3 linked regions of the Callithrix jacchus genome follow. The protein of the gene in region 2 interacts with the protein of the main gene of each other region in a biochemical or structural test. Links are inferred from orthologs where the notes say so. Each region holds a gene or a part of one and is shown on either strand. Other genes may lie near its edges. The genes, in order: RAP1A, RAPGEF2 and NEDD4.

Evidence for each region.
Region 1: the proteins of RAPGEF2 (region 2) and RAP1A form a complex in vitro, tested with the Homo sapiens proteins (2 studies listed by BioGRID and IntAct, with this or other methods). The link is inferred for Callithrix jacchus from reciprocal best matches to the Homo sapiens genes RAPGEF2 and RAP1A.
Region 3: the proteins of RAPGEF2 (region 2) and NEDD4 form a complex in vitro, tested with the Homo sapiens proteins (2 studies listed by BioGRID and IntAct). The link is inferred for Callithrix jacchus from reciprocal best matches to the Homo sapiens genes RAPGEF2 and NEDD4.

Annotation. Positions count from the first base shown.
Region 1 is NC_133508.1:149,582,522-149,586,767, reverse strand, and holds the start of RAP1A (ras-related protein Rap-1A), read right to left. Parts: upstream 2,817-4,246; 5' UTR 2,675-2,816; exon of another isoform or gene 2,261-2,674; intron 1-2,260. UniProt on the Homo sapiens protein: Counteracts the mitogenic function of Ras, at least partly because it can interact with Ras GAPs and RAF in a competitive manner. Together with ITGB1BP1, regulates KRIT1 localization to microtubules and membranes.
Region 2 is NC_133504.1:37,237,766-37,242,047, reverse strand, and holds the start of RAPGEF2 (rap guanine nucleotide exchange factor 2), read left to right. Parts: upstream 1-1,460; 5' UTR 1,461-1,734; coding exon 1,735-1,803; intron 1,804-4,282. UniProt on the Homo sapiens protein: Functions as a guanine nucleotide exchange factor (GEF), which activates Rap and Ras family of small GTPases by exchanging bound GDP for free GTP in a cAMP-dependent manner.
Region 3 is NC_133509.1:43,624,428-43,627,972, reverse strand, and holds part of NEDD4 (E3 ubiquitin-protein ligase NEDD4), read left to right. Parts: intron 1-5; coding exon 6-64; intron 65-1,373; coding exon 1,374-1,439; intron 1,440-3,545. UniProt on the Homo sapiens protein: E3 ubiquitin-protein ligase which accepts ubiquitin from an E2 ubiquitin-conjugating enzyme in the form of a thioester and then directly transfers the ubiquitin to targeted substrates. Specifically ubiquitinates 'Lys-63' in target proteins.

The sequences.
Region 1 (4,246 bases), on a different chromosome or scaffold from region 2:
CCCGCCTATAATCCCAGCACTTTGGGAGGCTGAGGCGGGTGGATCACCAGGTCAAGAGATCGAGACCATCCTGGTCAACAAGGTGAAACCCTGTCTCTACTAAAAATACAAAAATTAGCTGGGCATGATGGTGCACGCCTGTAGTCCCAGCTACTTGGGAGGCTGAGGCAGGAGAATTGCCTGAACCCAGGTGGAGGAGGTTGCGGTGAGCCGAGATCGCGCCATTGCACTCCAGTCTGGGTAACAACAGCGAAACTCCGTCTCAAAAAAGAAAAGAAAGAAAGAAATAGCTGGGCTGCTGTAAGTCTTGCATGCCATGGTAAGAACTTCGGATTTTTACTGTGAATGAGATGGGAAAACACTGGACAGTTGTGAAAACAAGAGAGACTTGCTCTGACTTAAATTTGTGAGCATCATTGTAGCTGCTGTGTGGAAATCAACTTGGGGTGGAGGGGCAAGAGTGGAAGCCGGAAGATCAATTAGGAGATTAATAATCTTCAATTCTAACCTTTTTCAGTGATTGCAAAATTGTGTATCTTCATGCTGTTGGACATATAGTTTCCTTTTCTTCCCATCTATTAAAGTAATTAAACGAACATGTGCATATACAACATTTTCTTTCTCTTGGAATCTTTCCTTGGGGATTTATTCCCAGAAGGACTACAGTACAGGATCAATGTATACGAATATACTTAACTTCTGGGGTATATTAAGTATAGATACTGTCCTTCCTGAGGCCATACAAAAAGTGAACAAAGACTTTTGAGCTGTTTTAATATGAATTGGGCAACACTCAGGGATTCCATCCAGTTCACTTTTAAGACAGATGGTCATGGTTGGCCTCAGAGGGTCCCTAACACTAATGCAAAATTTTGTGAATAAATGCCTATTAACTTTTTTCTGAGGAGAGAGTTTATATATTTCAACATATTCTCAAAGGTGTCAGTGGCCTAGAAAAGGTTAAGAATTACTATTTTACAAACTGGAAGTGGAATGCAATATCCTAATATAGGGTACCTCTCAAAAGGACGGAAGATTTAACACCTAGACTCATCTTGGTAATCATTCAATTCATTCAACAAATACTGAACATGTATGATCCGCAGTACCTTACAGCTGATCGTATCTGAAGTAGACCATAATTTAAACACCCAGGAAACTAGACAAGAGTCCCTGAAATATATACAAAAGAATATCAAACTATATAATTTCAAAACAAAAATGTTACAGGAACTAATAATAAAGACAGAAAGTCTGGGGCCTAATTTAATGCTTATTATGTCAAAGTATCACAGAAATAAATTACATCACAAGTAAAGAAAACTACACATAGGCATGTCCACCCCCACACATTCTGACAGGAAACCCAAAGAAAGTTTCCAAATCCTGTTTCCAGCAGCATCTCTTCTGAGACAGCCCTTCACACTTTTGAAGGTAGGAGCCCCAAGTTAAATCTAAGAGCTGATACTTTACGCTTACTGTAATAACAAAACCATCATCCACCACCTAAGAAGGAGAAAAGAGTGGCTACCTGCAGGGCTGTGGTCCAATCACCTTCTGCTCTATTATTCTATTTCACTTCCTATGCCTCCTACCTTCAAGGAAGGAACAAAATGATTTTCCCTCCCGAAACAGAATGCATTACTCCTCAACAGTAGTTCTTTTTCCAAGAGGTCAAAGGTTCCCTAAACTCTGGTTCTCAGCCCTGTGAGGAGATCCCATTTGGCAAGCACAAATGTCTTCCTCTCATCTTCTCCCCGTAGCAGTAAATTACACAATTCGGCTGAAGACACCGTCCTTAACTTCCTGAGTAAGAGGGGCAAGAGATGCTCTTACCAACGTTAGTTTGAAAGATTACAAGAATCACACTGTGACCTCTTCCCTAACAAAATTCAGGGAAGAAGCAGAGACTCATGAAAAGTAACATTGAAGAAGCGAACACATGGTAAGCTACGGAAGACCTGGGGGTAAAGAAGGCGGGAAAGGGGCTAGAAGGTGGAGTGGGATGTAGAGATGTCAGCCCTATTCACTGGGGGAATAAAGGAAGGAAAAGGAGACCCTGAACCCTGACAGAAGTGAACACGGACATAGCAACGCTCCAACCGGTCCGCACTTCTACAGCAGAGGACAGAGGACAGAGAATTCACCCAACCCTCCAACCCCCTCCCCGTGTGCCCCGCCAAAAGGGAGAGGTGGGTTGGAAAGGAAGCTCTGACCCTAGACAGGGGACATGCAAGAGAGGAAGGCAGCGACGTCCAACCTTCTAAGTCTCTCAGGCAGTGATGGGCGAGGGCACCAAGTCTGGGGAGACGGCAAGGGAAATGGGCTTGTGCTATGACACCTCGGGGAGTTGAAGGGTGGGGGACACAATGTCCTCTTTCTCTCCCACAGCCGGCCGGGGCCCCTCCCGACGATCTCCCGCAGGCCTACAGTCGACCGGGTCGGTCCGCGGGCGTGGTTGGCTCTGGCCCTGGCGGTGGCCGGGCCTCCCTGATCTCCGGCCCCTCCCGCCGGCCAGGCCCCCGGGCCGCCGCCCCGGACACCGATGGAACGCGGAGGAGGAAGGGGGAGCCAGGCGACTGACCGGCGACATGAGCCGCCTCACCATCGGCTCCGCCGACCCGCGCCCCCCGCTCCCTCTGGGACAGTCTAGGGCTCCCCGCCCCTCACTCACCCCCCTGGTCCGGCACCTCCTCCACCTCCTCCTCCTCCTCCTCCTCCTCCTCCTCCCTCCTCTCGCCCGTGGCTCCTGCTCCGGCTCTGCGCGGCGACGGCAGCAGCGGCCTCGGGAGCGGCGGCGGCGCCTCCTCCAGAACGCGCACGCACGCAGCACGCATCCCCGCCCCCTAATTCTGTCCCGCCCCTCCAAGTGAGCCGCGAATGGGCTTCGGCCCCGCCTTCCCCGCGGCGTTCCGGAGTCCGCTTAAAGGAGCCGCGCACTTTAAGCGGGGAGCGGGGAAGTCCTGGAACTACCGGGAAGGGGCGGGGAATTTTAGCTTTGCACACAGGCGGAATGGGAGGTGGGTAAGACCGGAAAAAAAATGAGGAAGGGTCCAAAGATTCAAGAAGAAAATTTGGAGGGAACGCAAGCATTCGACAAGAACTGAGCACCTGTTAGGTGCCAGGCGGTGTTCTAACTAAGCGCAAAGGGATCAAGCCATAGACAGGCAAAGACCCTCCTGCAGCATGCTTGCTAGTGGAGTGGGAGAGGGGATACAGACAACAAACAAGTGACAAAAACTGCAGGTAGTGATAACTGGTGTGGAGGAAAATAAACGGGAGATAGGGTGACTTTACACCTGGTCAGATACTGCGTCTCCAAGACCTTTGAGCCCATACACACGGTATGAAGGAGTAAGTCTTGCAGACACGGGGGCGGGGAGGACGAATAGCCTTTTCCAGGCTAAGAGAAAATCAGCCATAAACCCAGAGGTAGGGATATGCCTGCCATGTGCAGAAACAGTGAAAGGCCGGCGTGGCTGTGCAGCGTCAGCCAGCCCGAGAGCAGTACCAGCTAGGCTCAGAGAGGTGGGCCAGTGGCCAGATCCAGTGAAACCTGTGGGCCTTATAACAGGAACTGGAAACCATAGTAGGAGGGTGAGCTGAGGAATGACCGCATCTGATTCACATTTTTAAAAGTTAGTCTTGCTGATGTGTGTAAAATACACAATGGGGAAAGCACAGATGTCCTTGGGTTACCAGTACGGTAGCTTGGATTAAGTAGCCTGGCAGCCATGGACAGGATGAGAAGGCTATTTTATTGTATTTAGATACATTATAATTAGAATGGATTTGGATTTGGGGCATACTGTGTGAAAGAACAAAAGGAAATCAGAGTTGATTCTTATGTTCCCGCCAGATGACTGATTTAATGGTGGTGCCATTTAATGAAAAGGAGGCGCAGATTTGGGGATGGGGAAATCAAGAGACTTTTTTGCACATGTTATATTTAAGGTACCCGTTCGGCCGGGCGCGGTGGCTCAAGCCTGTAATCCCAGCACTTTGGGAGGCCGAGGCGGGTGGATCACGAGGTCAAGAGATCGAGACCATCCTGGTCAACATCGTGAAACCCCGTCTCTACTAAAAATACAAAAAATTAGCTGGGCACTGTGGCGCGTGCCTGTAATCCCAGCTACTCAGGAGGCTGAGGTAGGAGAATTGCCTGAACTCAGGAGGCAGAGGTTGCGGTGAGCCGAGATCGCGCCATTGCACTCCAGCCTGGGTAACAAAGAGCGAAACTCCGTCT
Region 2 (4,282 bases):
GTCATTTTAATGTCTGAGGTGCCAAAGTGGGCTTGGAAAGCAGGGGAGGGTGCAGCAAATTACAAACAAGCAAAATAAACCCTAAGAGGATTTAACGCCACAGAAGCAACTCCGGGCCAACTCCTGGACTCAAAAAGAATGCCCCGTATGGCTCGGGCTGGCGGGCCGGTCTTCTGCCCGGGGTTAGCTTTCAGCCCCCAGGCGGCGGCTTGGCGCCAGGAGCGGGCGGGGAGCGGCGACCCGACGCGGCTGGGTCTCCTAGGAGCCAGCGTCGGGTGTGGGGAGGGGTCGCAGCGTGAGACAGTGGGGAACACTGCGAGAGAAAAGCCCTGCGCTTCTCGCCGGGGCACCGGGACTTGCGCCCCATCCTAGGGTTCAGGCCGCGTGAGGGACCCACCAGCCCGGCCGACGGCTCCGCGACCCCCTTGCAGCCCGAGCGCTGCTCACCTGGGCGCCGCCGAAAGTGCGGCTCACACGCGAGGGCGCGGCCCGCGGGCGGGCTGGGAGCGGAGAGGCGGGACCCAGCGCAAGGGAGCTGCCCGCCCCCCGATGATGCGGCGGCCGCCGACTGGCCCCTGAGCTGTCACTCACTCCTCACCATGGTTTCAGCACAAAGCAACAAGGCCCGGAGGCCGCTTCCTCCCTGAGGAGCGGCTGGGGCGACCGGAGAAGGCGCAGGAGGAGGAAGAGGCGGAGGAAGAGGAGGGGAATCTCCGCTTCCCAAACACTCTCTCCGAGGGGGCTGTCTGCTGCGCTCGGCTCTCGGCGTCGGCCGCCCGAAACTGGGCTGCCTGCGGCCCCCTCTTTCCCCTTCTGCGTCCCGCACAGACGAGGAACAAAGTTGCCGAGAGCGACTGGGCCGGAGGGCTGCAGCCCGGGCGGGGTGCTCTGGCCGCGGCGGCGCCGGCGCCGGGGCAACTCCGCTCCGGGAGCGCTGATGGGGGGAGGCGGCGGCAGCGGCGGCGGAGCCTACAGCGGCGGCCCGAGCAGCAGAGGCAGCGGCGGCGGCGGCGGCAGGGCGGCCCGAGGGGATGCAGCAGCAGTCAGGAGGGACGGCCGAGCCCAGTAGACTGAGACCAGGAGCGGTGGCGACGGCGGCCGAGGTGATCGGGCTTCGCAGCGCCCAGACCGGTGCCAGACCCACCCGGTCCGTCCTCCCGACCAGCGGCCGCGGCGCCTGAGCGCCCAAGGACTGGGGACGCGGGAGATCGGAGTGCTTCCCGGAGACCCCTGGGTGGCGGCGCGAGCCTCTGAGAGGAGGGGGCGACTCTCAGCGCCGAGGGGGAGGAGGTTCTGCCTGCCCGCTGCCCTCCCCACTGCCACTCGTACCTCCCTAAAAATAACTCGGGCCCGCTGGGGCCAGGAGGAGCTGCCACTGTCCCCCGAGTGGAGCCAGGGAGGCGTGTCTAGCCAGGGCCGGACGGAGCCTGCGGAGCGGCGAGGAAGAGGAGGAGGAAGGAGAGTTCCGCCTGCTGGGCGCAGGGTACGGCAGCCTACGCGCGCCGCGACCCTCCCGGCTGCGCCCAGCGCCCCTCGCGCCTGTACTGCGCTCCGGGCCGCCGGGCCCATTCGAGCCGCCCCCCCCGCGGGCCCCGCGCCGCCGCCGCCGCCGCGGTTTGGCTGATTAGCCGCGGGCGGGCGGGCGCAGCGCTCAGGGCGGAGGCAGCCGCGGCGCTGGGCCGGGAGGAGGCCGGCCAGGGTGCCCAGCTGCACGACCCGAGCCGCAGGGGGGAGATGGCGTCCTACGTGGATAACAGCTTCCGCCAGGCGGTAATGAAGAATCCCCCCGAGAGGACCCCCCAGGTGAGAACGCCGGGGCCGTCTGCACTTGACCGGATTTCTGCCTCGCAGGCTGCGTCTGCTCCTGTTCCCCCACCCTCTTCCTGACATAGTTCGCCCCGAGCACCCCACTTCTAGTAGTATCAGGACTCTCAATTCCAAAGGCATCCCACCTCCGAGTCTTTCACTCCGCCTTATGCTGGTTTTAGATTTCCCTCTCCTTGACGTTCTCCTCAACGCTCCTCTTCCCATGACTGACCCCCCCCCCCATGTTGTCCAGCAGAGTGAGTGTGTGTGTGTGTGAATTCTCTAGCTTTCCCTCTCCCCGGCCGCCCTTGGGGGCCTCTGAATCTCAGGGGATGAGGTCTCATCTCCCCTCGGCCAGCGACTCTTGCCCCCCGTGACTGCAGGTCCGTTCCTCCCCTTGCAAGTGGCCCTTCTACCTTAGGAGTTTCGTAGTGTTTGAAAGGTACAGTAGGAAACTTGTACGGTTGTGCTAAAGACAAATCCATTTTGACTTTCTAAAGGAAAACATTGAGGTGTTTGTATGTTTACTATTTTGCATTTTTTTTCTTTTCTTTTTTTGGAAGGATGCTGCTTTCAATTGAAGGGAAGCAAAGTTGAATAGCTAGGCTAGTGCTTTTAAATTGCAGACCTAGCTGCAGAGCAGGCATGTTCAAATACACCCCCGGGAAGGGCACCCTGCGGATTCTTTTGGTGTTGCACAGCCCTGTCAAAATTAGATAAGTTTGTTAACCTTTATACATTTGTTTACCTTCAGGCTTATTCTTTTCTTATTTTTAGCGGCCAATAGGGTTGGATTTGGTTGTCTCAAGTTTTACTAGAGTGGGCGAAATTTTATGAAAATATGGTGGCTTAATTTTCTCTACTTTTAGTTGCTGACCCGATGATGACGCATGTTCCTAAGCATTGGGATGGTGACTACAGGAGATCCTGCCTGCCAACCCTTTTAAGACAAATAAGCCCTCCTGATTCTTGGGACCATCAAAACATTTAGGATCTAATGCTTGAAAGTGTTGCTTCCCTTGTTAGGTGTTGGATGCCATCTGTTCAAATCCAAATGCTCTCGTTCTCTGATGTTGATTATTATTTAGTGTGGGGAGAGCATAATAAAATAGAGTCTTCCCCTGGCTGCCTTTGGACAAGCCCCAAGAATGGCACCTGGTACCATTTTTTGATTTTTCATTTTCCCTGATGGAGCTGTCACATCTGGGAGATCATGGATAGATTGCACATGTTTATCAAACGTGTGGAAGATGGCGGTAGTTTTACAAGAAAATTTGTTTCAGTGTCTCCAGAAAGTTCCCATTCTAAAAGACTATTTTTATTCCAACAAGGAATGTCCTGCTTTGATCTTGCCCTTGGTGTTGCACGCACGGCCTCTCCTGTGTCTTTCTCATCTATTTAAAATTGTCAGTTGAATTAGTCTTCTGTATCTGAAAATGCACATTCCTTGTCTCAATGTGAAGGAAAAGCAGATTTCAGTGAAATATTTCCTTGTCTTTCAAGAATATTAAGTGCCAAGTGAAATTACGCATGCTGAGAATGTTAGAACCTAGCAAGGCTGGTCCGAAAATGATGTCAGAGGCCTTTGGTGGAAATTAGAGAGGGGGGAAGTTGTGCATTTGGTTGATTAGTTAGAAGAATAACAATGACTAAAACCTGCTATCAGGTTGGGAGGGTGGGTCACCAAACAAGACTAGAAGAGGCAAAACCTCCACTGTGACTGCAGGGTGACTGTGCCAAATAAATGAACTGTTAAACTTTATTGTTCCCCTGCCAGTTGTGTAGAATAGGGTAAAAGCTGACCCAACACAGAATCTTGCCTGAGTCAGAAGTAAGTGGGCCAGCTATTACTAACCCCACAACATGAGAGCTCCATTGATAGTCAGAAAGCGGCACATTTGCCCCACCAAATCTTCCTAGAAAAACCAAACATCAGGAAACCTACCAAACATTTCAGACATTCCTAAGTGTCAGCCCTATTGACTTTGATGTTCATTTGGTTGTTGCTAGAGCAAACCCCCATGTTTATTTGTTTACAAAAGTTTGCTTGACTGGCCAGAGGTGATTGTCTAAAAATTTAAAATGTACTCAGAAGTTATTTTTAAAAAAGCTTTTGTAGAAGGTGCTTTTTATATTAAGAATGCTTTGTGAATGGAATGCTGGAAAAATTTCCATAGTCTTGTCTTATAAATGTTTGTGAGTTAGAATTTCACAATATAAGAAAAGCAATGTTAAATAAGCTTGATATCGTGAACAGAAGGACAGGAATTAGGAAAGTTTTGCTGTTGTGCTTCCTTCTGTTTCTGAGGATAGGCTTGATAAAGGAGTTTGTGTGATTCTCCTTATAGGCAAAAGGGAAGTGCTTTAAAAGAAAAGAATTGGAAAATATGTAACTTATTTTTCCTGCTGTTCAATTCTATTTATTTTTTAAAGTCTTGCCAGCCTCATTCATTTCCCAAGCTCCGTGAAAACATAG
Region 3 (3,545 bases), on a different chromosome or scaffold from region 2:
TTCAGATATAAAAAGAACACAATGGGAAGATCCTCGGTTGCAGAATGTAGCAATAACTGGACCAGTAAGTCTCTTTGTACCAGTGTGCTCTGATGGGACTGTCCTCTCACCTGTCTCTTCAAGAGCAGATAGTCAAGGGCATAATCCTACAGGCATTGAGAGGAGAGCACATTGGCCATTCTCTCCTCTCCCCTATTTCCCATACTCCAAGTCTCCGTTATTTGAAAAGATTCTATAACGTCATTACCCTTACCCTGTGCAGTAACTGCGGGAGACAAGTGAGCCAGACAGTCAGAATGGTAAGGCAGTGTGGGCTGCTGAGCTCTGTCTGGTGCCTGCCGCTATCTGAACAAAAATGATGACAGTCCTCCACAAATCAGAGAGGAGCAGAGAGTGTATCTGGATGAGGACGCAGCAGCACCCTATCCACTCTAGGGTCATTCTTAAACTTTTTGTTAGAAATCGGGCCCAGCTCATGCCTGTAACCCCAGCATTTTGGGAGGCCAAAGCAGGTGGGTCACCTGAGGTCAGGAGTTCGAGACCAGCCTGGCCAATGTGGTGAAACCTTCTCTCTACTAAAAATGCAAAAAAAAAAAAAATTGCTGGGCTTGTTGGCAGGCACCTGTAGTCCCAGCTACTTGAGAGGCTGAGACCAGAGAATCACTTGAACCCAGGAGGCGGAGGTTGCAGTGAGCTGAGATTGCCCCACCACACTCCAACCTGGGTGACAGAGTGAGACTCTATCTAAAAAAAAAATTGTAAATGCCTGTATGAAAGACACATCCACATTTAATTATTGCTGTGTATGATAATTGTACTACTCTTGAGTCAGATGGATAGGATAATTTTTATCATTCTTTATAGCTGCTTTTTCCATTTTTATTCAGATGTTTCCTAATTCATAAAAATAAGATATAGTTTTTTAATTACTATTTACTATCTCAACATGTAGTCCTTTAAAAGAAGGGCTAAAAAAGGCAGCTCCCCAGAGTTCAAGGAAAAAGTACACTTCTCACGTTTTTCCTTTAATAGAGAAATCACTTTGAAAGTCTCTTTAGAAATGGAAATTTTTTGTTTCTATATTTCTCTACTTGGAAGAAATTTCCTGTTTCTGGCATGTTACATTTTAAGAATATCGCATGATGAAAATTACAGTCATAGGAACTGCTGAATACAATTTTACCTTAAACAGAGAAATTAAACATTTTGAAGTTTTGTATTTGTTTTTCTTCTAATTAAACTTTTCTTTCCCAATATTTTTCTTTTAATGCCCTTAACTTATATTCATAAAATACCCAGCAGGGAACTTTAAAAATTGTTCCAGAATAAAAACAACCTAAACTTCTTTATTTTTCCAAAATTTTCAACTGAAGGCAGTGCCGTACTCCAGGGATTATAAAAGAAAGTATGAGTTCTTCCGAAGAAAGTTGAAGAAGCAGGTTAGTGATGTTTGTAAAAAATACTTAAGAGTCATCAATACGTAGATGGAAAGTAAAGGGAAATGTTTTTATTTTTTTAAGTAAGAATTTGTTCTATATTTATAACAACTTTGAGTGAAAAGTTTTTTCATAGAAAAAGGATGCTCATTTTTTGAGTGGCTGTAATATATCACTACAGATCATAATTACTTTATGTCTATTTTTCAAGACATTTTATAATACAGAATAATGGCATTAAAAGTTTGCTTTCCAGAGCTCTGACCTGGGTGTCCTTGTGGAGTTTGTGGGGCTTGATCTTTGTAGAATCTCAGCAAGAGTGGCTCAGGTGATTATCTTCTAAGCTAGTCTTTCCTGTGTTGGAGGTCTCTGAATTTTTTATGACTTGGTTTTTTTTTCCAGCGATAGTCATTCATTCTCTACAGCTTAAAATGTAATCTCTCTGCATACTTTAAAACTGCAATCATGAGTGGGACTGTGCTCTTATGACTTGTCTCCTAATGCTTATCAATTATGTTCACTACGCTTTTGCCGACAGCCACAAATGCAACATGTTTGGAACTAAACTTAATCATCTGTCCATCTGTTTCATTTCTGTTGGTGTCTGTTGCCTCTCTTCATTTGCTCATCCTGACCTCCGTTGCCTGCACTTTAGGAATACTACCACTAGGTGGCCATATTGGGTTATACTTACTTGCATTCTAAGCCAGAAGCCTGCTTTTACAAAGATTCAAGATGGTGGATTGGCTACCTCAAATTTTTAACAAAAATAAAACATGGTAGTTTTTTAGACTAAATATTTTATGCCTTACTAAAATCCATAAATAGCATCAACTTTCTAAACTCGTTTTTAAAAATAATTTTCTACGCCAGGCGTGGTGACTCACGCCTGTAATCCCAACACTTTAGGAGGTTGAAGCGGGTGGATCACTTGAGGTCAGGAGTTTGAGACCAACCTGGCCAACATGGTGAAACCCCATCTCTACTAAAATACAGAAATTAGCTGGGCGTGGTGGCGCACGCTTGTAATCCCAGCTACTCAGGAGGCTGAGGCAGGAGAATCGCTTGAACCCGGGAGGTGGAAGTTGCAGTGAGCTGAGATCACTTCACTGCACTCCAGCCTAGGTGACAGAGTGAGACCCTGTCGCGAAAAAGAGGAAAAAGAAAGAATAACTTTGAGTAAAAATTTCCCTGGAAATTCTTCTGCTTCTAGACTTTGGGATTTTAAATGTTTGCTGATTTATTGTTCTGGTAAATATTTTCATTCTTAATGAAAATATGCTGGGGGAATAGAAGCACTAGCTTCTCCATTTTTTGCCACTCTGAGTGCTTGACACATGTTATAGTATCTAATTGTTAATGTCTTCCAGGAAGCAGGAGATGGGAGGCAGTCCCATTATAGGCTACAAAATACAGAAATACAACATACAAAAAAAAAAAACTTTAAAAAGCAGTAATATTTATTTATCTCTCACTGCATACCAGGCATTATTCTTAGAAGTTTATATATGTCATTCATTTAATCTCTACAATAACTCTGTAAGGAAGGGAGTACTATCACATTTCACAGATGAGGAAACTGAGGCACAGAGAGAATAGGTAATGTGATCAAGTCCCATGGTTAGGTAGAAAAGCCAAGTGGTCTAGCCCCAGATCCCATGTTCCTAACCAACATGACATATCATATTAGTGATTAAGAACATTAAGAGAGAAGTTCATTTTTGTGGAAATAACCCAGAATGCAACAAAGGTTTGTAAGGGATAAACATACAAAAGAAAGGTTCAAAGACATGAAGTCATTTCAGAAGGAGGGAACCAAGATCCTGAGGAGGAGAAAGTGAATATGAATTCTCACATTAATAAAAGGGCCCAAGCAGGATTTTAAAAATCTGTATCTAGACACATCACAGCAAAAGAGCAGAACATCAAGAACACTTAGAATGTCAGAAAGTGTAGCACCAAAATGGAGATAAAGAATATTAAAAACAGCAGGTGCAGTGGCTCATGCCTGTAATCCCAGCACTTTGGGAGGCTGAGGCAGGAGGATTACTGGACCTCACGAGTTCAAGGTTACCCTGAGCTATAATCACACCACTGCACTCCAGCCTG